Arabidopsis thaliana: one gene and its partners. The protein of the gene in region 2 interacts with the protein of the main gene of each other region in a pairwise test. Each region holds a gene or a part of one and is shown on either strand. Other genes may lie near its edges.

Region 1 (5,555 bases), on a different chromosome or scaffold from region 2:
TGTAGCATTCAATGTTCAATAAATCGGTTTAGGCGGCGACTAGACACCCGCTTAGGAGTTCATGAACCTTCGAATGCCCAATTTTAAGTAAAATTAGCCGCTTAAGTGTCTGATTTGTTTTATACAAAACATAATTTTCAGTAAGTCAAAAACATTAATCAAAAATAAAATAAAAAATACTTGATTACTAAAATTGTAAATTATGAATTAACTATTTTCAAAAAATTTAGTTTTTTTTTGTTAAAATGTTTTTAGGACTGAACTATTCTAGTTTTCATATAAACCAAGTGTGAATATATATAATAAATTCAAATAGATGACATTTATAACTTTATATATTTTATAACCAATGTTTTGATATAAAATTATGAAAAATAAAATAAAAATGAATAAATAATATGTTAACGTTTAGGCCTCGCTACTCTCTTTGAGTATTGGTATTATTACCAAAGTCAAATATCATAAGCTTCTCTAAAATTAATTTGATCAATGAAAAAAAGAATTAGTGGTTCATATGAAAGAAAAGCATTAACAAGACATATGACTGTGACTGATATAATTGTTCTTACGAATAGCAAAACAATCAAATTTGAAAATAAAGTCAACGATGAAGTGCACTAACCACAAACTCATTTAGAAGTGCTACATTTGTGCAAATCACTGAGTCCCATTTGATAAGACTAATTTGACAGCTGATGTCGAATATCTAAAGAAAATTAATACTCTTTTAGATGTAGGGAAGAGGGAATTAGAATATGAATACTAACATTTAAGAAAAAAAATTAACTTCATATAAAGTGAGAACTATATATATTTTGTAGCAATACATGTATTGTATTTTATATATCAGAAAAATAAAACACATAAATTGCAAATACAAAAATAAATCTTGGTTTTAGTTTATGAAACTTTACTATAAAATAAAATAGTGTGGATAAATTTGGAGCTCAAAGATAAATAAAATTAGATGTTAGTAAAAAAAAAATTTACAAATACGAGTTAACAGAGCTCACAATTCTCAAAAGAAGTTTGCTAAAATTCAAATTTTTATGCGTCACATTCTTTTATTATCTTTCCTTCGTTTGGGTAGCTATGTTAGCATCTACCTCTATTAGAAGTATGAGACTATAAATTTGTCAAACTCTATTTTGCTCACTACATAAATGTTCTCCTTTCTCTCTATCTCATCCACTCTTGCTCCACATGTATTTGATATGCCCTCTATTTCGGTAAGGTGAGGTTTATTTATCTACTCTTCCTACTCACCAGTCTTCTTTATACGTTATTATATGTATGTTACAAAAAAATCGAAAACAAAAAAAATATATATATGTAGTTACATTTTTTTTTTGTTCTTCTAGTATTTAATCTGTAAGAATATTGTAGAAGACACTATTGCGATTAGTCTAAAGCTTATCCAGATTTACACACTTTCATGTTTTAAAGATAATAACCATCATTTGAGATTCCACTTTGTGTGGTTAAAGGTTCTTTATCGTAATTATCACTTATAGACTTTGGTACTAAGTGCTAACAATAAACAAATCAAGATTTTGCGTAGAGACGAAATATCTTGAAGGTCAAAGTAGAAACACACACATAAGAATGTATTTGTTTTGAACAAGCACACACAAATAAGAGAATCCAAAGTCTTACAACACAAATTAGTAAAAAGACTAAAGAGTTTTCAAACACATCAGTAAATAAAACTTAAACATTGGAACTGTGCATAGTGTTTTTTTTTTGTCTTGAGCATCTTCGTTTCAAACCCGCTCTTTGTTCTTCGATTTCTCCACTGCACCTGGAGCTGCCACAGAATAAATCAACAATGAAATGAGCCATTGAGTTTGTATTCAGATTAGGGGGAAAGATGTTGGAAAACTTACCTAAGCCAATAGAATCAGAACCCTTCATGATCTTCAGTTTCTGGCATGTTTCAGTAAATATCCTGCAAATAGGTTTTAACAAGGATTCAACTTTTGAACGGAAACAAAACCACAGTTATTAAAGCTGAGAGTTCCAAAAGAAGCTTACTCCCATGGAACATCGCCAACAAGCATCCAATCACCGTCTTTATCTTCATAAGTAAGCACAAATTCTGATCCATGAAGAAGATCCTTCAGTTTAATCTCGCTCATTCTTTCCCTCCCTTGAGCACCATGAAGACCACATTGACCTGAGATCACAAACAAGAATCGAAATCACTGTTCTTTGGTTCATTCTGTTTTACAGTAGAATCAATGATTAGCTTAAATACATAGTAAATTCTCACCAAGGGTGAAGCAGCTGAACATTTTCTCAAGTGCAGAAGACAACTGTTGATAGGAAGTGTAAGTTCTCAAGTCGACCTTTCTCAGATACGGAGCACCATCCATGCTCACCTTCACAAACAGAACACCAAGACCAGGTTTCCCATCAACCTCATCAGTGTTCTTCGAAGTAGAAGAAGCCATTGTATTCTTCCGGTATGATCTGATTGGAGGCCAACCAACAACCTGTGCCCTGCAAAACAATAGACACAGATTACCACAAGATTCGTTCTTGACTCATAAACAAACTCATAAACAAACTCATAAACAAATCATCATATAATACACACTTGGCAGCTGGTGCATTGTTCAAGCCACCCTTAGCATGAGATCTTTCTTCTTGAATACTCTTCGAGACATCCTTAACTTTCGGCGACAACATCATGTTGATTCCTCCTCCAGGTCTAACAGATCCTTTCACACCCGAAAACTCATCCCAAGTGTCAGCAAATCCTCTCTTGTTACCAGAAACAACATTCTTATGCCCTGTAGTAGCAGAACCATTGTCTTTAGAAGGTAGCAACGGGAAGAGAAGCTTCTCATCGGGTGTTCTCGGACTCAGCAAACCGAAATCAGTCTCTCTCTCAGGAGATTGAGACTCAGGAAGACCTAGCCTCAGTTCAGTAGCTTTGAAATTGAGATTGCTCTTCCCAACAACATTGGGAATAGTTGAGCTATCAACAGAGGAACAATCAGAGAGACCCAAGTAGTTACGTTCTTTCAAACAAGGTGACGTAACCAGTTCATCCTTATCCACACTTAGCAATCGATAAGACATCAGATCTTCAATATGCAGGACTTGTTTTATCTGCTTAGCATCACAACAACAAGAAGAACAACCCAAAATCAATCTAATTACATAAAAATCTTCACTTTCTATAGATGCATGAACAAAATTCTCAATTTTAAGAAGAACCCAGAAAAATTAGGGTTTCAGATGAGAATTGGGTTAGATTTGCTTAACAAGTAAGATAAAGTTAGAAACTTTAACCTAGGTTTCATAGCCAGAATTCAACCTTATCGTTCCCAGAACTCATCTTCCCCAAAATCAATCACTTTCCATTCAAAAACCAAAAATTTCTTACTCTAACTTCTTCAGCATTTCCCTAAAATTCAGAATCACAACTAAATCACTTACTTACGAGAAAAATAAACTAAACCCAAATGATAATGAATCCAAAGAAGCTACAAGAACCAAACAAACAAACCCAGATTGAAAATTGAAACTAGAGAAGGAGGTTTCAATAGTTCCTTTTAGAGAAATTGAAACTAGTACCTGAAGAGAGAAGAAGAACAGAGTACGCAGAGGATCAAACAAACACTAGAAAGAGAGAGGATAGTGAGAGAGAGAAAATGCACGAAGGGAAGCAGAGAGGTCAAGGTCCGTCCATGGAAAATGAACCAGAGAAAGCTAACAAAAGCGCAACAATCAAGAAGAAGAGAGAAACAAAAACATGGAAGGAGTGGTAAATTTAGTAATAAACTACAAAAGTAAGGGTATTAAGGATAGATTAGGTTTGTTCGTATGTGGTGTGGAGTACTGTAGTTAGATCTGACGGTTGAGAATGAGTAAGTGAGAGTGATTCTGAGTCGTTAGATCTAATGGAGAAATAATAATAAATACATGTCGTTGTTATAGGTAACATGGTTTCAGGTTTCTGTTTTGTAAGGAAGCTTAAAAAAACATGAAAATATTATTAATTTTAATTTGATTTATATATTTGAAATGACTTTTTTTTGTCTCTGTTATTCTTTTTATTTTATTTTGTAGGTCCACAAATAACATGCGTGTGTTTATTATATTTTATTAAAATTATTATATGGTTTTAGCAATAAGTAAAATCAAATCAGATTGTTTTATGGTATATTTTCTTTTGTTGTTGTTAAAATGATTTAGATAGAAATGGGACCATCCAATATTTAAGAGGCTGAGTGGTCTAAAATACCTATAAATTTAATATGTTTTCCATTATAATCAGAGTTTCAATAGTTATGGGACCACGTATCGGTTTAAATTTTGTCTGTCTAAAAATATGCATACCGCCAATGAAAATTACAATGGATAAAAAAAAAGTAAGACAGAGCATTTAACAAGTGGTAAAAAATGAAAATTTACGAAAAAGAGTGTTAAATATTCTTCTACTCGTTTATAATTATGGGCTGAGAGCAATTAGCAAAGGAGAGTGATGATACGAGAGAGACAAGAAAGCAGCAATTGAACTTTGTTTTGCCGGCTGCTTAATATGCTCTACTTTTGGTGTGGTATAGTTATGAAATGTACAATAATAGATACCATAATTTAAGTAGACTCACAACAAAAATCAATGTATAATTATTTAGTTAAACTAGTGAGGAGATTGCACGAGGAACAAAATTCTAAGAACACAATCAATGTGAAAATGAGAGCAAATGAAAATAGAAGTGAAGAGTTGTATATTTGAAGAAGAAGGTCATGATCAAAGAGACACGTTGGAAGCACGCTTAAAGAGAAGGGAAACAACCAAATCAGGCTTTGCAGCTTCACTGTTGTTCACATGCCTGTCACCTAATTCCATCATCACCCGCGCTCTTCCTTTCTTTCACATCATACGTCACCGTCCCGTAGCTATACCATTTATCACCCTCTTGTCTCCCACTCTTTTTATTGTTCTTGTTTCTTTTTTTTATGTTCATTTTTTTCTCACTCGAAGGTTAGATTATATTAGAGAACCCATTATATTACTAAGATTTTTTTTAATGTTCATTACTTCATGTTTTTTTGTCTCTATAAACAAAATTCATTCTGTTGTTACTAGGGGTGTCAAAATGGGTAACCCAACCCAACCCAACTCATAATCAAATGAGTTTATGATTAAATGAGTTATGGGTTGACCCAACTCATTTTGTTAAATGAGTTGGGTCTAACCCATAACTCATTTCATTTGATGGGTTGAGTTGTTAAATGGGTTAACCATTTAAATAATAATTTAATTAATTATTATTATAAAACAATAATAAATAATTATCATCATCATTAATTCATTATTATTAAATTTGAGATATTTATTGATTCAGAAATTTTTACGAGTTTACATTTTTAGACGGTAAAATTACGAGGTTACGTTTTGTGACGGGAAAATCACGGGGTCATGTTTTTTTGGCGGGAAAATCACGAGGTTACGTTTTTTTGGCGGGAAAATCACGAGGTTATTCTCATCTTCTAGTGTAAAGTAATCCCACATATCTGATGTTCTACTTCTTTTAAAA
Region 2 (5,354 bases):
GTACATCCCTTAGAGCGAGGTCTAAACCATCATTTGGAAAGCTCACCCCTTCCAACACAAATCGAACACATGACTTCTAAAATCTCTACGTTTTCGGTGATCAAAGGGATTTACCACTAGAAGTGCCAAGTTGACGGTTCTTGGGAATGTAAACTCTACTTCTAGGTTATGTTGGATATGCTTTCAGGAGGAATCTATGACCCTATTGCTAGGATTTAAGTCCCATCGCAAAAATATTACTCTGCTCATTTTCTTGAATTTCTTATATGGGCTATGAAGACCATTCTATCAAGTGCACTCACATGGTAGAAACTAAAGTCGGATCTCTGAGCTGATCATGATAACGCAATACCCCTTTGAGTGGCTCCACTTTAGTGGACTATTGTTTTCTCTTATTGTACTTTAGGTCCTCGTGAATTAATCTCTCGGACGAAAGTGTTTAGCATGTAGTATTTTAGCCCATTATTTGGGTAACCAATTAATGTTTATTCCCTTAATGTATTGGTGATGATAAAAAGAGCAAGTAGACTACTAAGTTCTTACCAACCAATAACCGAAGGTACCAAACGATTCGAAATTAAAAAGAACGAATAATACTGATGAAAACTGTTGAATTAAACAATGTCATAGAATATAGTCACTTAATTATGACTATTTCTCTTTCAAGGCACTAATCATCCTTGTAAATCATCATACTTTCCAACAAGTATTAGTAAACAAAACCTACTAAACTAAAATAGAACCTTAATTTTAATTATCATTGTTTAGACATTTTTACATACATGTTTTGAGGAAAAGTCTCCTAACTATCATAATGATCAAGTCTAGTCTACTATTAATAGCAAAGAAATTAAAGAAACTATCAAAAATATTTGGACCTAGACATCAACATCTAACAGTATAACCTAATCAATCAAAGTAACAATCTTGGTTCGAAATGAGGATATGCATTATGTGAAAAGGGTCATTGTAGAACTATGAAAAATGGTTATGCATATGGGGAAGCTTAAAAATGTTTTATGATTGCATGTATCTTTCTTAAAGCTCATACCGAAAGAGCTCCACATCTAATAATGGTCGTAACCACACAGTATTTTATTTATTCTCCATCTATCGCCTTTTGAACATGTCTAAAACACAAGTATATAATAAAAATGCGTATTACAACACAAAAATATATAATACTAATATCGCTAATAAGAATATAGAATGATATTATTATATATTCTTGTTGGGTTATTTTGACGACAGTTCTTAAGTCAACTTAATTATTTTTGCAAAAGACATTTTTGCACGTTAGTTGTAATTTTTTTTCGCAACTAAAAATATATGCAAATATTTTACATAAAACATCTTTTGCTTTGTTTTGTCAATCTCTTATGCTTACACTACTTGATAGTCATTTCTTTGAGGAAGAGCGCCAATCCTACAAAAAAAGTAAGAAATATTTATTGTTACAAAGGTGATTCGAATTCGAGTGATAATTTCACAACGACGCTTACAAGAATAGCTAGATTTCATGTATTTTCCGATTACCAATTTTTTTTTGTATCAACAACAACATGCATATGAGTTTGAACTTCGACGGTGTCACATCAGCTCTTGCACACTAGCACAAATCACTAAATTACGTTTTTAGTCAATTAAAAATAATAAAACATATACAAATATGACCACAATCATAATACTACAATTGAATGGCGATGATATAAATTCAATTTTTGTATTAGTAATACGGTTTGAAAATCTACATTCGAAATGTGAAACGTACAATGCCATCATTATGCAAAAAAAAAAACAACTTTCAAACATTATTCTATATGAAATGGAGGAATTGGTAAAAATAGAATTCATTACATCACCTAAAGATTAATCACCCGATAATATAAAAACAGAAAACTAAACAAGATTTCCCTGAAATTTATAGTTTAATATATTTTCTTATGAACATAATGAATTTCTTTATTTATTCTCATTTATGAAGATGATATAAAAGTTTGAACAATAATCACAACACAACACATAAAAAGTAAATCTCCTAATCACCAAAAACTATAAAAATGAAATGTATGTTTTTGTAGTTGAAAAAAGGGTGGTGGTTGGCTTTAGAAATTGGACTTTTAACCTAAATGTTTCTCTACAATACAACTTCCAAATCATAACCGTTATTTAATATTACACCTAGTCTTCATCAAATAATCAAAATCACAAAATAATCAAATATCAAAAACAAGTTGTTATAGTTTTTAATCAAAATAATTATGACATAGCATAGATTATAGAATATCTCGTTCAAATAATGATGTCAGGTTTACATCAATCAAACTGAATTTTCTCGAGAAGCATATTTTGAAAATTAAAATTTATTCGCAGAAAAAGAAGAGAAAGGAATCTACTATTATTTACTGTATATTATATAAAGAGGAAAATAAAATAGGTAAATAAATTTCCTTTTATAATTGCTTTAGATTGCGGTTGTACCACGGCTCTGCTCTTGCTTTTAAGAACTTGCCGGTACTAAATTTCATATACTCCAATTAAAAGCTAGCTCGAAACCCCAAATGTTATTTTATTTTTCTATATAATAATAATCATACATTATAAAAAAAAATCATATCATTATTTAAAAATAGAATTTTATTTTTCTTTCTTCTTCTTCAATTATTATGACACTCCCGTGTTCCTAATCTTTTCTCTTATTCTTCTCTTTCTTCTCATCTTACAAAATCTTGCAAATCAATTTTAATGAAGAGAGAGCACAACCACCGTGAATCATCCGCCGGAGAAGGTGGGAGTTCATCAATGACGACGGTGATTAAAGAAGAAGCTGCCGGAGTTGACGAGCTTTTGGTTGTTTTAGGTTACAAAGTTCGATCATCCGACATGGCTGACGTGGCACACAAGCTTGAACAGTTAGAGATGGTTCTTGGTGATGGAATCTCGAATCTTTCTGATGAAACTGTTCATTACAATCCTTCTGATCTCTCTGGTTGGGTCGAAAGCATGCTCTCGGATCTTGACCCGACCCGGATTCAAGAAAAGCCTGACTCAGAGTACGATCTTAGAGCTATTCCTGGCTCTGCAGTGTATCCACGTGACGAGCACGTGACTCGTCGGAGCAAGAGGACGAGAATTGAATCGGAGTTATCCTCTACGCGCTCTGTGGTGGTTTTGGATTCTCAAGAAACTGGAGTGCGTTTAGTCCACGCGCTATTAGCTTGTGCTGAAGCTGTTCAACAGAACAATTTGAAGTTAGCCGACGCGCTCGTGAAGCACGTGGGGTTACTCGCGTCCTCTCAAGCTGGTGCTATGAGGAAAGTCGCGACTTACTTCGCTGAAGGGCTTGCGAGAAGGATTTACCGTATTTACCCTCGAGACGATGTCGCGTTGTCTTCGTTTTCGGACACTCTTCAGATTCATTTCTATGAGTCTTGTCCGTATCTCAAGTTTGCGCATTTTACGGCGAATCAAGCGATACTTGAGGTTTTTGCTACGGCGGAGAAGGTTCATGTTATTGATTTAGGACTTAACCATGGTTTACAATGGCCGGCTTTGATTCAAGCTCTTGCTTTACGTCCTAATGGTCCACCGGATTTTCGGTTAACCGGGATCGGTTATTCGTTAACCGATATTCAAGAAGTTGGTTGGAAACTTGGTCAGCTTGCGAGTACTATTGGTGTCAATTTCGAATTCAAGAGCATTGCTTTAAACAATTTGTCTGATCTTAAACCGGAAATGCTAGACATTAGACCCGGTTTAGAATCAGTGGCGGTTAACTCGGTCTTCGAGCTTCATCGCCTCTTAGCTCATCCCGGTTCCATCGATAAGTTTTTATCGACAATCAAATCAATCCGACCGGATATAATGACTGTGGTCGAGCAAGAAGCAAACCATAACGGTACCGTATTTCTCGATCGGTTCACGGAATCGCTACATTACTATTCGAGCTTATTCGACTCGCTCGAGGGCCCGCCAAGCCAAGACCGAGTGATGTCGGAGTTATTCCTAGGACGGCAGATACTAAACCTTGTGGCATGCGAAGGAGAAGACCGGGTAGAGAGGCATGAGACTTTAAATCAGTGGAGAAACCGGTTCGGTTTAGGAGGATTTAAACCGGTTAGTATCGGTTCGAACGCGTATAAGCAAGCAAGCATGTTGTTGGCACTTTATGCCGGGGCTGATGGGTATAATGTGGAAGAGAATGAAGGTTGTTTGTTGCTTGGATGGCAAACGCGACCGCTTATTGCAACATCTGCGTGGCGAATCAATCGTGTGGAATAAAAATAAATAATGGGAAAAGTGAAAATGTGCTATATACTTTATTGCATTGCTGATAAAGAAAAAAAGTCCCACGTTTTCCAAATTTTATGAATTCTAAATTTTGTTCACTTGTCACGAGATTTTGACCTCGCATAAATAGACTATTACGTCAGGGTCAGGCCAATGAAATGATTTTTTATCACTTGTTCTCATTAAGGTAAAAAAGGTCTTTTCTATTTCATCTTTGGTTTTCGATAAAATTAAAATTGAATAAGAGATGAAATAATGATATATATAAGGTGATAGTCTGATAGATATGGATAAATGTTTCATGACACGAACCAGTAGTCAAGTTCTTTTGAGAATAATCCTAAGACCATGGACTTTAAATAGATTGGTTAAAGGGTCATTATCTCTTTAATTAAGGAGGACAGTGGTGTGTTTAAAATGTATTTGTGCTCTTTTGACGTTGATTTAATTAGTACCCACCGCCAAATAATATATGAGCATTCCTGTTATCGCATGTTGACATCATTTTAAGAAAATGATTTTCGTAGGTAACATTTTGTTGGTAATCAATTTAACAACTACCAATTTTATTACTTTTAGAAGAAATATGCATGAGCTGACATAATTATACTGTACATAAGTTCATAAGTTTCTGTCGGTAGAGAGGTTTGTTCATCAGGAATTCGTAATGACGCAAAACATAAATTTGTCTTTAGAAACTTTATATGAATATATAAATTTGGGAAACTATTATAAATCCTCATAAATTTTAACAAATTTTCAAATACTTTTACCTTTCTAAAACTTTTATATGTTGTTTCTTATAACTTACTTACACAATTTTGTAACAATTTTCCAAGTATAACCAGAATTGTTTTGGTAATAAAACCTTCCTCAGAATATGTTCTTGGAAACGAGATTTTAATTTGATGGGCATCATCATTCTTCGACACTACAACCATTTTAAAATTTTGTTTTACTCGTTGAAAGTATTTTCTTTTCAATAATGGTGCATTCTAGGTTTGATTAAATTGTGAAGTCCAAACCCAAGCCCAATAAGGGAAGTTTGAGGCCTAACCCAACTC
Region 3 (4,461 bases), on a different chromosome or scaffold from region 2:
TCAGACGTTTCGTCGAACACTTGGTGTGCACTTCACTAACCAAACCATTCCCACCAAATCTCGCATCTTTACTTCTCTTATCAACAAACCCATCAATGATCCCTGATTTTCCGACGCAACCATTACTTGGGTTTACTAAAAGTAAGTTTTTTCCGGCGACAACTTCATGAGCAACGGTACCACAACCTCTGTCGCCATTTCTGGTGCTTCTCTGTGGTCCTTTGTCACTCTCGTGAGTTCCTGGTACGTAATTCTGCTTCAATTTCTTGAAAGATGGGAATTTATCGAGAGGCGAAGAAATCGGTAAGGTTTTTGTAGAACAGAGAACATGTAAGCTACTTCCATCTAGACGAAGATTCAACAACATTTTTCAACTGCAACGAGCATTAGTTTATTCACTAGAGAAAAGGAAAAGAATTTGCACCGCCAATTGCGACGAAGGTGGTATATACTTCTCCGGCGAACGTGATTCTCTGTAAAATTCTGACGAGATTTTTTTCTGGCGTTGTTGCTAATGGATAAAATTGCGCGCGCAAAGGTCCTTTGTCCGATTGGAAAGAGAATACATTTGAGGATTAAATTGATAATTTCGTAATAGTTTAAGCCCTTAAAGGAAATAAAAAGCTGTAAACTCCTGAAGTTTTATTTATTTATAGAAAACAACTCTTTATATATTTGATTTCCAAATAATCCCAAAACCTTGATCATATGCACATAAGAACCCTATTAGAAGAGAAATGATTTTTTATTACTTGGTTCACATAATGAAAAAAACATACTTGAAAACTAGTCATTGGCGTTCGGTATTTTGGTTCAGTTCCGGTTCGAGAACTTCCCATGAGCCCTTTTGTAGTCTAAAAATCTATAATCTTAAATTGTGTTTTATTAATATTATTATGTTTTTATGTAATATTAATAACCTTTACCCTAGAAAAACTAATATTATTTTCTCAGTTTTATTATATTAAATTGTGTTTTTCAATTTCATATGTTATCAGACTTATATTATTATGTAATATTTTTTTACAATTGGTTGAATTGTTTAGGTTAGATATTAATTTCTGTTTTTAATATAACAAAATTATTACATAATAATTCTTGCAGTTTAGCTAAAACATCTAATAAGCTGAAGAGACAGAGTCATTTACAATTCATCAAAAAGAAAAATTGTTTTTGAAATCTTTTGATCGACAAGGCCTATCTATAGAATTGTGGATGTGTTTTGGGAAGGCATTATAGAAAATTTGTCTCATGTGGTGGTAAATGTTTTGCTGAATAAGTAAATAATAACCTTGGTTAAACTTTAAACAAAAAAAAAAGTTAATAAATAACCTTGGCTAAACAAATGTGTATAAGTTTCTGAAATTTAAAATATTATGTTCGTGATCAAGAACAGAAAACTGATGATCTTATAGGACATAACTACTTAATACATTATACATCTATAGATTGTGTATGTGTCCGTATTATACATAAAATCTCATGTATCTTTACATCAAACTTCAAATCTAAATACAAAAACAAAAAGAACATCACTAGAGATGGATCTCTCGTCGGACAAAACCCCGAAGTTTCGTCTTTCACGGTCAACTTTAGTCAAACTCCGATCCGAATCAAACCAAAAAGGGTTTTTCATTCATCGATCATAGTCATCATCTCCTTTTTAGACAAAAGATTCTCAGCTTCTCTGGATCATAAGGAAGAGTCTAGAGCAGGAGCGTCGGATCCCTTCATGATTCTGAGTCTCTTACAAGAAGAAGAGAACATGTCCCATGGAACATCACCAACCAACATCCAGTCACCATCTTTATCTTCGTATGTTGGTACAAATCCAGATCCTTTGTATCCTTCTCTCTCACAATATTCACCAATCATGACTTTGAACATATTCTCTAACGCTTTGAGAAGCTCGGGGTAGTTTTTGTATGTCTTGAGATCGATCTTGCGAAGGTAAGGAGCTCCGTCCATACTCACTTTCACGTAGCTCACACTGTTGTTGTTCTTACGGGAAGATCTCACTGGTGGCCAACCAACGATTTGAGTTCTGTAAATTTGAGGAAAGAAAGATTAGTAAAACTATTCAAGAGCCAATAATTTGAAAGAAGCCAATTTGAAACTCAGATCTCTTCTACTTACTTGGTAGGAGGTGTAGATTCTTCTTCATCACGAGTTTCCTCAAATAGACGCTTGTTGTTACTTTTAACGCAAGAAACCTCTTGTTCTTCTTTGATCTTCTCTGTTCTTCCGGGTAATCCAAGACATAGCTCTGTGTCCTTAAGGTTAAGCTCGTTGACTTTCTCGTACGCCATTGCTTTTGGATCAATATCAATCTTTGTGTTTCCTTCTTGTGTGTTTTCTTGGGTACTTTGTTCTTCTTGTCTTGTTCTTCTTCTTCTTGTTCTTGTTCTTGGTGAGCTGGTTGATGAGTTTTGGAGAAAAGGGGAGAGAGATATATATAAAGGAGCATCGAAGTTAGGGTTAAAGGAAGAGAGAGAAGTGTTGTCGGAAGCATGAAAGGCAAGAAAGAGGCAAGGGGACAAAAGTGGGACACGAAGCTTGAGGCCGCCCATGTGGACACGACTCTTTTGTTTAATTATTCCACGCTCCTCTTTTCCCTCCGCCAACTTTGTTTACGTTAACATCTTAGCCGTCCATCTCTATTGCCTCTTCTTTTTCTTTCAAAGGATGTATAATAATTATAACGAAAGAATATAAAAATGAATGAAATGATGAGAATTCTATCGGCCGACCCGGAATAAAAGCAAACAGAGAAAATATAAATAAAGTAAAGACTAAAGAGGTGTATTATAATAACATTTATTTACTGTTTCTTAAAGGTTTCTTCTTCTCTTTTTGAAAGTGTATAGTGCAGGTTATAAAGAAAATATCAAGTGCTAATGATTGTTAATCCATTTGTTGCATAATAGATATTCTTAATATATATTTAAATATAATGTGTTGTCTTAAAATTTGATGTGAAAGTTGATTATTATTTTTAGTTTACTTCTATTGATTTATTAATTTTTAACTTAAAAGATTAATAGATGTTTTGAAAGTATGATGTAAAAATTTCGATTCAGAAGAAAAAACGTATGGTGTAAAAAATGGTTAAAAGGACACTTATGTCAAATAAAGTACTATTTTATTGAATCCTGATTCCAAAATGAAGATTATTTAGAGTTTCCAAGTACTCTTATGTGTTACGAACTATTGAATGTGCATAAGTTGAATTTTATCATTTTTGCTCGTAGATGTAATTTGATTAATAAAGAAATATTAGTTTTATGGTTAAATCTCAGATAATATCGAATATTAAACGTTACATATTTGTCTTGCGAAGACATATTTATGCGTGGCATTTTGTATATTGTGAGTTGGAAAATGTTATAACATTTTGTGTGTAGATTTTGATTTTATAATAGGAGACGAAGACCCATGTGGATAAGGGTCAAATGTGTTGGTAATTGATAGAGGAATGGTAAAGCCATGTGCTTTCTTATGTGTATGTCTCTTTTAATTATTCATTTCCCTTCAAAATGGGTTGTGGGGGAGAGAGGTTCCACGTGCTATGTATTCATTGAATCATAAAACTTAAAAGAATGAACCAAAAAGTGGTAATTAATTTCTCCCCATAGATTACGCTTAACTATGTGCATTTAGCTTCTAATCCGCATGCGATTTGATGTTAACGTTAGGCTTTATTCAATGGATTTACCAATTTTGGATATTATTTGTTTTCTCTTCTTTTAAGATAAAGATTCCTTCTATGTTCTTGCCCCTTCCATCACCAAAAGATTAGATAAGTAAAAGCGATGCAAGATACGTTGCCTCTCTTCTTATAAGTAAATAATTTAGAGGTTCTGATTGTCAGAGTTTTATGTATTATTTCCAGTTAATAACGAACTCATGCAATGTATTTTCTCACAAACTGAGAGATGCACGAATGAATACCATTTGTCTGTTAAATATTGCACGAATGAATACTAAAGGTTAACCATTTACAGATTTCTAGAATCACTTAACATGGTGGGAAACAAACTTCTTGAGAATAGTTTTTTCCTGTTTGTGTGTTCATGCATGTTTTAGTCTTAGTGAAAATGTATTATAGAAACATAACTACTAGATCTATGTGATGCTTTATGCTTATATAGATGATTGCTAAAGTTATTTGTTGGTTAAACTAAACCTTTTTACTGAAAACCATTTAAGAAAGTACAAGAGAATTCAGTTACTGTTTATTATGGAGTTAATTCCATGAATATATATTGAACATTAAGTTTTGCCTAAAAAACAATATTGAACTTAAGCCAAATACATAAATCATTTTTAGATTATTTTGGTCTCTGTGGTCAATTTAATGTATTAATTTATGTACTGAATCAACAGTTGTTTGTTCTTTTATGTTAATATTTGATATTTTTTACTCTACAAGGACTACAGATTCTGATGACAATTTTAACG
Region 4 (8,770 bases), on a different chromosome or scaffold from region 2:
CTTAGGATAAAAAGTTTTAAATCTAGTTGAGGTAGAGATTGGACGAATTTGGAATGTCAACTTCTACTTCTCTACTAGGCTTATGATGTTTGACAATTTTATTTTTATTGTTTTCTGCGAATTGCTTGGATAATGTAGCATAAGATATTTAGCCTTTGTAATATTGAGAATATACTGATGAATCTAATGACTAGATTATATAAATTACAAGAGTTAGATGATTATGAAAGTTTAAGCAGTTTTGAGAATTGGGAAGGAGTAGGAGTATTTTATATCTTATAGTATTGTATAAAGGTTTGAGTAGGTATATATTATCGATTGAGAAACTAAAGATAACTTAAATTAATGATTCATTCAACCACTCAACTGTTACAAAAAATAAGTTCATGTTTAAGAAAAAAGTACATTTATTTTAGACCAAAAAAAAAAAAGTACATTTATTTTAGTTTTTCCAAGTTAGACGTGTTTGTAAATTGTAAACAAACACAAACGTAACCGTGCTTTTTACTTCTCCTTATGTTTCACATTTCCGTTTTCTATATATAATATCGAGTTTTTCTTTTTTTTTGAGTTGAAAGTTAAATTTATTCAAACCCAAAAAAACTATTTTTACAATAAATGTTACAGTGATGCTGAAACAAATAATTTTGAAAGAGAGGCAGAGTCATTCAAGAAAGATGCGGTTATATTAGAAGTTCAATAAGTAACCCAGAACAAAGACAATTTAAGCCTAAGCAGATAATAAACTCATCCTTAATCCTAAGTTTTAACGTACGAGTACTTTCAATGTGCATGCTTAGAGTTTTGTATTCATCTTAAACCAACTTAATGTATGCAGTGTCATTATAAGATATTCGTAAAGAGACCTTAAAAACAAGCGTTTGGCTGATTATAAGAAATTATTATTCAACAATGTAGTTGGTCTAGAGAAATTACTTACATCTCTCTTTCACTCTAAACACTAGAGATCAAAACAACGAAGTAAAGAAGTAGGATCATTAGACAAAGATTGGAAATATCACAAGTCTCTTTGCTTTTGACATAAACAAACCCAATTTAAAAAAAAAACCAACTTATTAATGTAACATTAAAAAAAAAAAAAAAATTAGACCCAAAAAAAGTCCTGAGCTCTCTGCTATTTCTTCTTTTTTCCTTTTCTTTTCAGACGAACATAGAAATATTTCTACTTCCAAATCTTTACGGATTTGTCATGACTTGCAGACGCAACCACTCCCGTCGAAGGCGACTGAGCCAAGGCAGAGATCACACACTCGTGGCCTGCTACCGTCATACATTTGTTCTCCATTGTGTTCCACAGCTCTATAGCCTGTCACAGATTCGTTTACCAAAGTTAAAACAACTGAGAGACACATTCACCTCATCACACATTTGAACATAAGACTAGATATTGTTTGACACATTATTTGTTTGAGAAATGGGGATATAGGTTATACCTGATAGCCACCGATGACCAAGAGATCGGGATAGCTAGGGTGAAAAACAACAGAGTGGAACTTGTTTCCACTGTTGCTAAGCTCGTGGATGCAATCTCCTGAACTCAGTGACCATAATTTTACAGCGTCTTCACTAACAGACGCCACCAACTCTCCGTTTGGGCTCCAACAAACAGAATGTACATTTGAGGAATGTCCCTGCCAGATCAAAAGTAAATAAAGCCATGAGTAACGATCAACACTTACGACATCTAAACATATGCCCCAATGCATCTAACAAGAAAAATGCACTGGACTTTGAAGATTCAAAGTATTAAAAGTAAAAAACAAAGCTTTTAGTCTTTTATGTGGATTGACCCGGGGAATTCAAAAATATCAATATATCATCTTCAGCTCTACCTTAAAAATGTTGACCCGTTTGTTATTATTTTCAATATCAAAAATTGACACAGTATTTTCTGACGCTGCAGCTAAAAACTGTCCTGTTCTTGGCTGGAAACGTACTTGCGTGCTAGCCCCCTGTGCTTGGAAAATTCAACGATTAGCAAACAGAGTTCACATCCCAGAGAAACCATACAAAAGGTCAGGGGCTTGCCTTTACAGCACGAACGCAAGAGGCGTTTATGTCCCAAAAGCGAATATCATTGTTGCTATCACAGGAGCATAAAAGCTCGGTTTTCTTAGGATGAAAATCAATGGACATAACAGGTGCAGCATGACCAGAAATTGTTCGTAGGAAGTAACCAGGCTGCACAAATTGGTAGTAGTTAGTCACAGCAGAACACGAAAAATTGCAACAAATAAAAGAGAAACAAATTAAATTAGTATACATCAGAAGCATCCCAGATTTTGATTGTTTTGTCGAATGATGACGTTGCCAGTTGAGTTGAATTCGGTCTGAAGCGAACATCTGTGATGATATGAGCATGTTCTTCCGGAGTGCTCTCAACTTGTAGTGTTTCCATGTTCCATATAAATACCTACTGACAAAAATAAATTTGCATCCACATTATCTGTTTTTAAACAAACAAAATGTTACCTACCTATAAATGATCTATAGCTGTTTTAGGGCCATGACAAGTTTATAAGCAAACCGTATCTCAGAAATTAAGAAGTTGCACCTTCTTATCATGTCCAGCGCTAGCCAACAACTTCCCATCATATGAGAAGCTACAGCAAATGACCTTACTGGCACTTTTTCTTATACAACTAACCTCATTGAAACTGAAAGCTGAAACGAGAAAAAGGACCGTGTTAGTATATATTTATATCGTCTACTTGTATCATACTTATCCTTGGGGTGTTAGAATACGCTTTGAGGTTTCGGTATGCACAGAAGAGTTCCGCTTTAGGGTGCCAAACAAGCTTCCTCCGTCTCCATCATCTTGGGACAAAAATGATTCTACATTATCTTCTAGAGCTCCCACATCTCCAAACTGGTCCATGTCATCCTGCAGCTATTAATTCTTGTCATAAGAAAGCTGAAAGAAACACGGCCCCATGGGATATAAAAAAAATATTCAAGCTGCTAAGAAAGCACTTGTTTCACACAACACAACTGCATGCTGTATCCAGATGTTATTGGAGGAAAACTAGATTGTCGTTATCATTCTTCTGAGAAATTAAGAAACATACCAGTTGATTTGCTGATGATGCAAGACCACCGATCCCATCAGAACCATACATCATTGGCCCTTTTGGCATGCTATTCACATGGTGCATGTTACCAGCTATAGCAACTCCATCAACAGGGGTATGCGTTGACGGAGTCGATGGCTGTGAGTTGGATGGGCCAACAGTGTTTCCTGTCCCTGTGCTGTTAGCAGGACCAGAAGAGGAAGGCCCTTTTCTTTTGCGGTTGTTCTATCAGATACACGAAAAGGAAGTTGTGGCTCAATCATCTCAGACACTAAAGAATATATTCAGTTGGTTAAAACCACATGCTTGATAAGACTTGAGGGATTGGATCCACATAAAAGTACCTGTTGTGATTGCTGGGATAGTAAGTGATCTTGTTGCTGAGAAGAAGATTGCTGTACTGGCGGCATGCTGATATGCTATAGACCAACAAGCAACGGAAAGAGAGAAAATCAGAAGAAAAAAATGTGATTGATAAAATTTTAGCAGTAAAGTCCCCATGTTTGGTAGTAATCAGCTACTAATTGCGGATAAGTTTTCTCTATTATTGGGTTCATGTGGTTAACAAGAAAAAACAAAATTCTGATACCTATGTAGATCTACATTAGGATAACACAAACACATTACCTTACACATTTTCCAAATGGAAAGTATAGCAGTCAGACGATAACCCAAAAGAGTACAATTTTAAAGCATAGACGAGCAATTATCAGAAAAAATGCATAGAAGGACAGACGTAATGATCCAATTACACCACTTAACGGAACACAGAAAAAATGAGATGCTTCATTTTTTCTCTGCTACCCGAAAAAGATGATATAATGCAGCTCAACAGATTCCACTGCATCCAACAGGGATATGCATTTATTGGTAATTTGAGAAAGTCTTACCTTTGACGAACTTGACTGCATGGGGGACCCTATAGATCCATCATTTGCATTTTGTTGGCCATCTTTCGGATTAAGGTTTCCTCTAGGTAATCCTGTAAATCTTCGAGGGTCCATGTCACCACCATACATGGGTGAATTAGTCATATTTCCTTGCGCTTGAACCTGAGCCAACATCTGATGTTGTTGCTGCTGCGGCGAGAGCTGAAATTGACTTTGATTTTGTAGAAAAGATTTCTGAACCTGAGGGCCTCCTAAACCTGGTCGCATCTGCTCGATGCCCTGTAACATTTGTCAAGAAACTTAGCAAAATACTGGGCTTGGAATGACAAACAAATAAATTCTTAGAAGAACCACAGAGACTTACAGTTAATGGCCATCCCTTTAAAGGAAGACCACTCACTCCAGGGTTTAATCCTTCACAAGGGACAAACACAACACCATAAGAATTTATACAAATTGTAAGCAAAAGATTCTCGTGATGCCATTAGCATATCACCCTATGTAATTCATCATGATTTTGCACATAACAGGGAAGTAATATTTAAATTTTGGAGTCCATAGTCAACTAATTGCCATAGAAGGCATACTACCACGTATTTTACCACCATTTTCTTTTCGGTGAGCGATTACTCTACAATGCAATACATTGATATATTTACCTGCACTCCCCATCCCAGGCTTTGATTGCAGAATTCCCTGGCCATAAACTGTAGAAGGATCCACTGGCAGTTGTCTTGGAGATGTACCCAAATTAACTTCAGTTTTGATTTCCTGCACGTACAAGAGATTCAGATGTACACCAAAATATCTGATTGGAGACTTGTCTGTTAGAAAATTTGAACAGTATAAAGTAAGGTGCTCGAGTAGTAGTTACAGTGGGCTGCTGAGTTCGTGATTGAATTTGCTGCAGCGCTGCCGAAACACCTCCTTGATGGTTTCCTTGGACAATCTGACTGTTTAGGGACAGAAAAAAAAAGAAAGGACAACAAGGGGTCAGAGGTATGAGGACTAGAAAAACGACAGCAAAAAAGAAGCTGAGCCAATTTACCCATGATGGTTTGTTGCTGATTTAAGAAGGGCCATCCTTGCATCAAGATGAGGTTGGGATGTCTCAGAATTCATAGGATTAGGCTGCTTCATGCGTTCCTCGTACATTTTAGCAGCCAAAGCACTAGCATTAGACTGCCCAATCATCCCTTCAGAACCAATAGCATTCATTGGACCGCCAAGAGAAGGATGATTAGGGTCCCTACGCTGCATTTGAGCTTGGCGCATCATCTGCAGTTGCTGTATTTGCATTTGCTGCTCCTTCGCTTTACCTTGTTGTGCCTAAAATTTCAAAACCACTGGTCAGTTACGTAATTCAAAACTAACAAAACATATTCCCAGATGTTAGTAGAAGACATTCACCTCTATATAAGCTGCAGCAGCCTCTGAATGCTTCTCATTCGTCCTTGCAATGAAAATGTCCCAAAACACAGACCACCACTCAAAAAGAAACCCTCCAGGTGCATCAATTGCTAATCATTCACACAACAAAAAACAATTACATATCAAAACTTAAAATTAAGAAAGAACAAAGTGGAACAAAGAAAGTGTAATATTACCAACTGGATCAGGAGAAACCTTCCCTTCAGTCATAAACGACTTAGCAGTATTATGAAGTTTCTTCTTCACCAAATAATCATATATGTAAACATCAAGCCTACAAAAACACAAAGATATCAAAGTAAGGAATTGAAAAAAAATAAGCTTTTATTGAATACAAAATTAACTTACATCTTGTCAGCTTCCCAATTACTCTGAGCCATAGCTTCAGCCCAAGATCGAGCTGCTATAAAAGGAATTCAAATCTTCAATCCAAAGAAATGATATGAACTCAGAATAATTCGATTGTTTTAATAAACAGACACTAACCTGAATAAAAGCCCAAACAAATAAATATCAAGTAGATCAGAACCCTAATTCGATCTTCAGATATCAGTAAATTTAAAGATCAAGCATTGCTGCTACACATACAGAGAAAATATAAAGAAATCGACAAGGTTAAATTGCTTATACGCGAACATGACTTTTGGAATTCGTTGAATTGATATAGAAAGTAATCGAATTCACATACCTGACGGATCACAATTGAAAAGGAAAAAAAAGAATCTAGGGTTCTTGAGAGATTACAGTGAATTGTAATCAGCTGTAAGTTAAGAGTAAATCGATCATGAAACAGCTGGAAGAGAGAGATAGATCAGATTGATGAGTTTGGAGAGATCATCGGATGTTTGGTTTGATGCTTAGCTTTAGGATTCGATGAAAAAGTTTATTCATGGGCTTCGATATTTGGACCTAGTTATGGGCTTACTTTTGGGCCTGTGATTGACTTTTAATCTAAAGTCAACTCGAAGGTAGGCCGAAATTTCTCTTGAATCGTTAGAGCAGCCAATTCATGGTTTCTAAACAGAGTGAAAAAATTTATTATAAAAAAAAGTGTAGGTTTTTTTATTAGTAAAGAAATTATTTTCAAAGTACGCAATGCTATGTCAAGATAAATGGTTCATACTTCATGTAGCTACACTCAATAATACATTGGAAAAAATGTCAAAAAAATTGCCAACTTTGAAAAATGGGATGAAAAATCACCAACTCCTGAAATGTCGTTTTAATCACATACTTTTGATTGAGTTCTTTAGAAAGATAACAGAGCAAAGTTTTGTTGATTACGAATCTTTGCTTTATTATCTTTCTGGAAAAGTCAACCAAAAGTATATGATTTAAATGACATTTCAGGAGTTGGCGATTTTTTTGTCCCATTTTTAAAAGTTGGCGATTTTTTTAACATTTTTCCCATAATACATTCATTATTCTACCGTATTTAATCTTCTAGTTATAGCTTACGAATGGTTCAAAATGAAAACTTGCGTCAAATACTAGTTCTTTCTTTTTGGGCAAACTCGTGAAATATGTTTGTATTTTGAGGGTGAGATTTGACCTTATAAACTGATCACTGCATATGTTTTATGAAACTAATTCAAATTCTAAATAGAAAATAAGAACTAATTAAAATCCTTTAACTAGAGGTCTGTAACCAAAAGATTGCATGCATATTCTCAATAGAACCAATCTAATTTTTTTACAAAAAAAAAATGCATAGGATATTCATTTGGCACTTAATTTGAAGTTTTAGTACTTTATGATGTGAAATGAACAATCCACACTTGTAGTGTTATGAAGTATTAAACGTATTTCTTAAATTTCTTACTAACAAGTTAGCCCTAGATTAACTAGTTAAATATTCTTGTTAAGCCTCGTTTTTTTTTCAAATCACTAGTTGACTTTAAAATTTAAGTCCCAACCATTATTCTAACAACAAACAGTCCAAATTAAATAAAAGATTACATTCACAGCTCAAACCAGTCAACCTCAAATTTTTAATAATCTAAATCTATGTGGGTGATGCATGTATAATGTATAAGCCTATCTGTTTTTCTTTATTTGTTAGTTTGGAAAATGAAAGGTTTAATATGTGTTTGGTTTGAGCCATTAATGACATAATAAATGAGATCACTTTTTTTTCACTAAATGAGATCACATTTAGGGCTTGAATAATGCAAAAGAGCCCTCATATTATTAATGGCTTTGTAGTAGACATGTCCTTCAACTATAAAAGGAAAAATAAAACAGCCACGATTATAAACTTTTGTTTTTTTGATAACGACACAATTTATTCATTTATGGTACGTCTTTTATGAAAATACACTAAAAGAGAAACACACTGTTCTTTTTGCTATAAATCCATGGAAGGTTGATTTATGAGGAATCATATACATATGGTGAACTGATGATTGCATTCTACGAATATGATCAGTCTGGTTTTTAGAACATGAACCAATTATTATTATTTGACAAAGTACATGAACCAATTGTAGTATATATTTTCATCAATTTCAGGTTTTTTCACCATCGGCGCCCACTAGAATCGTTTGCTCATTTTCTTAATCGGAAATAAGATATACATTTCATTTCATGTGCATATATATATACATCGATATTATTTATTTATTGAATTCATCAAATGTACATTGATTTCATTTTTATTGTTATGTTGGATGAGATCAACTGGGCAGTTGGCAGACATAAATAAATTGTCCTATGACAGGTGAACCTCATTTAATTTAGTTTACTCAACCAATTTATTTTTTTCGCCTTCTTACAAGTTAATACGTCCGGTTTAATCAATTCCGGTTTCCCACTTTTCCTCACGGTTACGCCTTAACCAAGCATTTCAACCTCTGAAATAGAATAATTTGAGTATATATGAACAAATCAACAAACTAAACTAAACCGGAATTGATAAGAAACCTAGAAAAAGAAGAAGCAAAACCGGTTATGTATGTAACGTACTCACGAGTGGACGATATGTCTATATATAGAGGTCAAGACTAAGCTTCACTGACACAACTACTGTCTTCGATCTCTCTTTCATATACACCATATAAAACGAACCAGTTAATTATGGGTTTAATTTCCGGGAAGGTGTGTGTGTTTATCTTTGTATTCGCTCTAGTCGCTGAATTTTCGTTCGGAAATGTTGAGGTTAACGACGACAAACACTTTTTCCACAAACCTCGTCCATTTTTACACAAACCTCGTCCATTCCTCCACAAGCATGGCATTTACAAGAAAGGTTTCGGTAAGGGTTTGGGCGGTGGAGGCGGTCTAGGCGGCGGAGGTGGTCTAGGAGGCGGTGGTGGCCTAGGAGGCGGTGGAGGTTTAGGCGGTGGTGGAGGTTTAGGC

The links.
Region 1: the proteins of RGL1 (region 2) and IAA8 interact in binary tests that used the Arabidopsis thaliana proteins (3 or more experiments, as listed by UniProt).
Region 3: the proteins of RGL1 (region 2) and IAA2 interact in binary tests that used the Arabidopsis thaliana proteins (3 or more experiments, as listed by UniProt).
Region 4: the proteins of RGL1 (region 2) and LUH interact in binary tests that used the Arabidopsis thaliana proteins (3 or more experiments, as listed by UniProt).

Annotation. Positions count from the first base shown.
Region 1 is NC_003071.7:9,634,668-9,640,222, reverse strand, and holds IAA8 (indoleacetic acid-induced protein 8), read right to left. Parts: upstream 3,844-5,555; 5' UTR 3,586-3,843; exon of another isoform or gene 3,416-3,585; 5' UTR 3,347-3,415; coding exon 3,326-3,346; exon of another isoform or gene 3,118-3,325; coding exon 2,600-3,117; intron 2,503-2,599; coding exon 2,273-2,502; intron 2,177-2,272; coding exon 2,035-2,176; intron 1,949-2,034; coding exon 1,887-1,948; intron 1,808-1,886; coding exon 1,764-1,807; 3' UTR 1,478-1,763; downstream 1-1,477. UniProt on the Arabidopsis thaliana protein: Aux/IAA proteins are short-lived transcriptional factors that function as repressors of early auxin response genes at low auxin concentrations.
Region 2 is NC_003070.9:24,745,582-24,750,935, forward strand, and holds RGL1 (RGA-like 1), read left to right. Parts: upstream 1-2,523; 5' UTR 2,524-2,745; coding exon 2,746-4,281; 3' UTR 4,282-4,605; downstream 4,606-5,354. UniProt on the Arabidopsis thaliana protein: Probable transcriptional regulator that acts as a repressor of the gibberellin (GA) signaling pathway. No effect of the BOI proteins on its stability.
Region 3 is NC_003074.8:8,179,377-8,183,837, forward strand, and holds IAA2 (indole-3-acetic acid inducible 2), read right to left. Parts: upstream 2,720-4,461; 5' UTR 2,571-2,719; coding exon 2,137-2,570; intron 2,045-2,136; coding exon 1,693-2,044; 3' UTR 1,270-1,692; downstream 1-1,269. Other genes in the region: AT3G23020 (Tetratricopeptide repeat (TPR)-like superfamily protein), read right to left, coding at 1-367. UniProt on the Arabidopsis thaliana protein: Aux/IAA proteins are short-lived transcriptional factors that function as repressors of early auxin response genes at low auxin concentrations.
Region 4 is NC_003071.7:13,864,258-13,873,027, reverse strand, and holds LUH (LEUNIG-like protein), read right to left. Parts: upstream 6,257-8,770; 5' UTR 6,102-6,256; exon of another isoform or gene 5,989-6,101; 5' UTR 5,900-5,988; intron 5,817-5,899; 5' UTR 5,794-5,816; coding exon 5,762-5,793; intron 5,688-5,761; coding exon 5,590-5,687; intron 5,503-5,589; coding exon 5,393-5,502; intron 5,312-5,392; coding exon 5,031-5,311; intron 4,936-5,030; coding exon 4,857-4,935; intron 4,754-4,856; coding exon 4,585-4,753; intron 4,397-4,584; coding exon 4,347-4,396; intron 4,262-4,346; coding exon 3,983-4,261; intron 3,512-3,982; coding exon 3,437-3,511; intron 3,318-3,436; coding exon 3,090-3,317; intron 2,912-3,089; coding exon 2,767-2,911; intron 2,686-2,766; coding exon 2,576-2,685; intron 2,435-2,575; coding exon 2,285-2,434; intron 2,203-2,284; coding exon 2,050-2,202; intron 1,974-2,049; coding exon 1,854-1,973; intron 1,653-1,853; coding exon 1,455-1,652; intron 1,328-1,454; coding exon 1,184-1,327; 3' UTR 871-1,183; and 1 more. Other genes in the region: GRP23 (glycine-rich protein 23), read left to right, coding at 8,489-8,770. UniProt on the Arabidopsis thaliana protein: Transcription repressor subunit of the SEU-SLK1 and SEU-SLK2 transcriptional corepressor of abiotic stress (e.g. salt and osmotic stress) response genes, by means of an epigenetic process involving histone modification (e.g.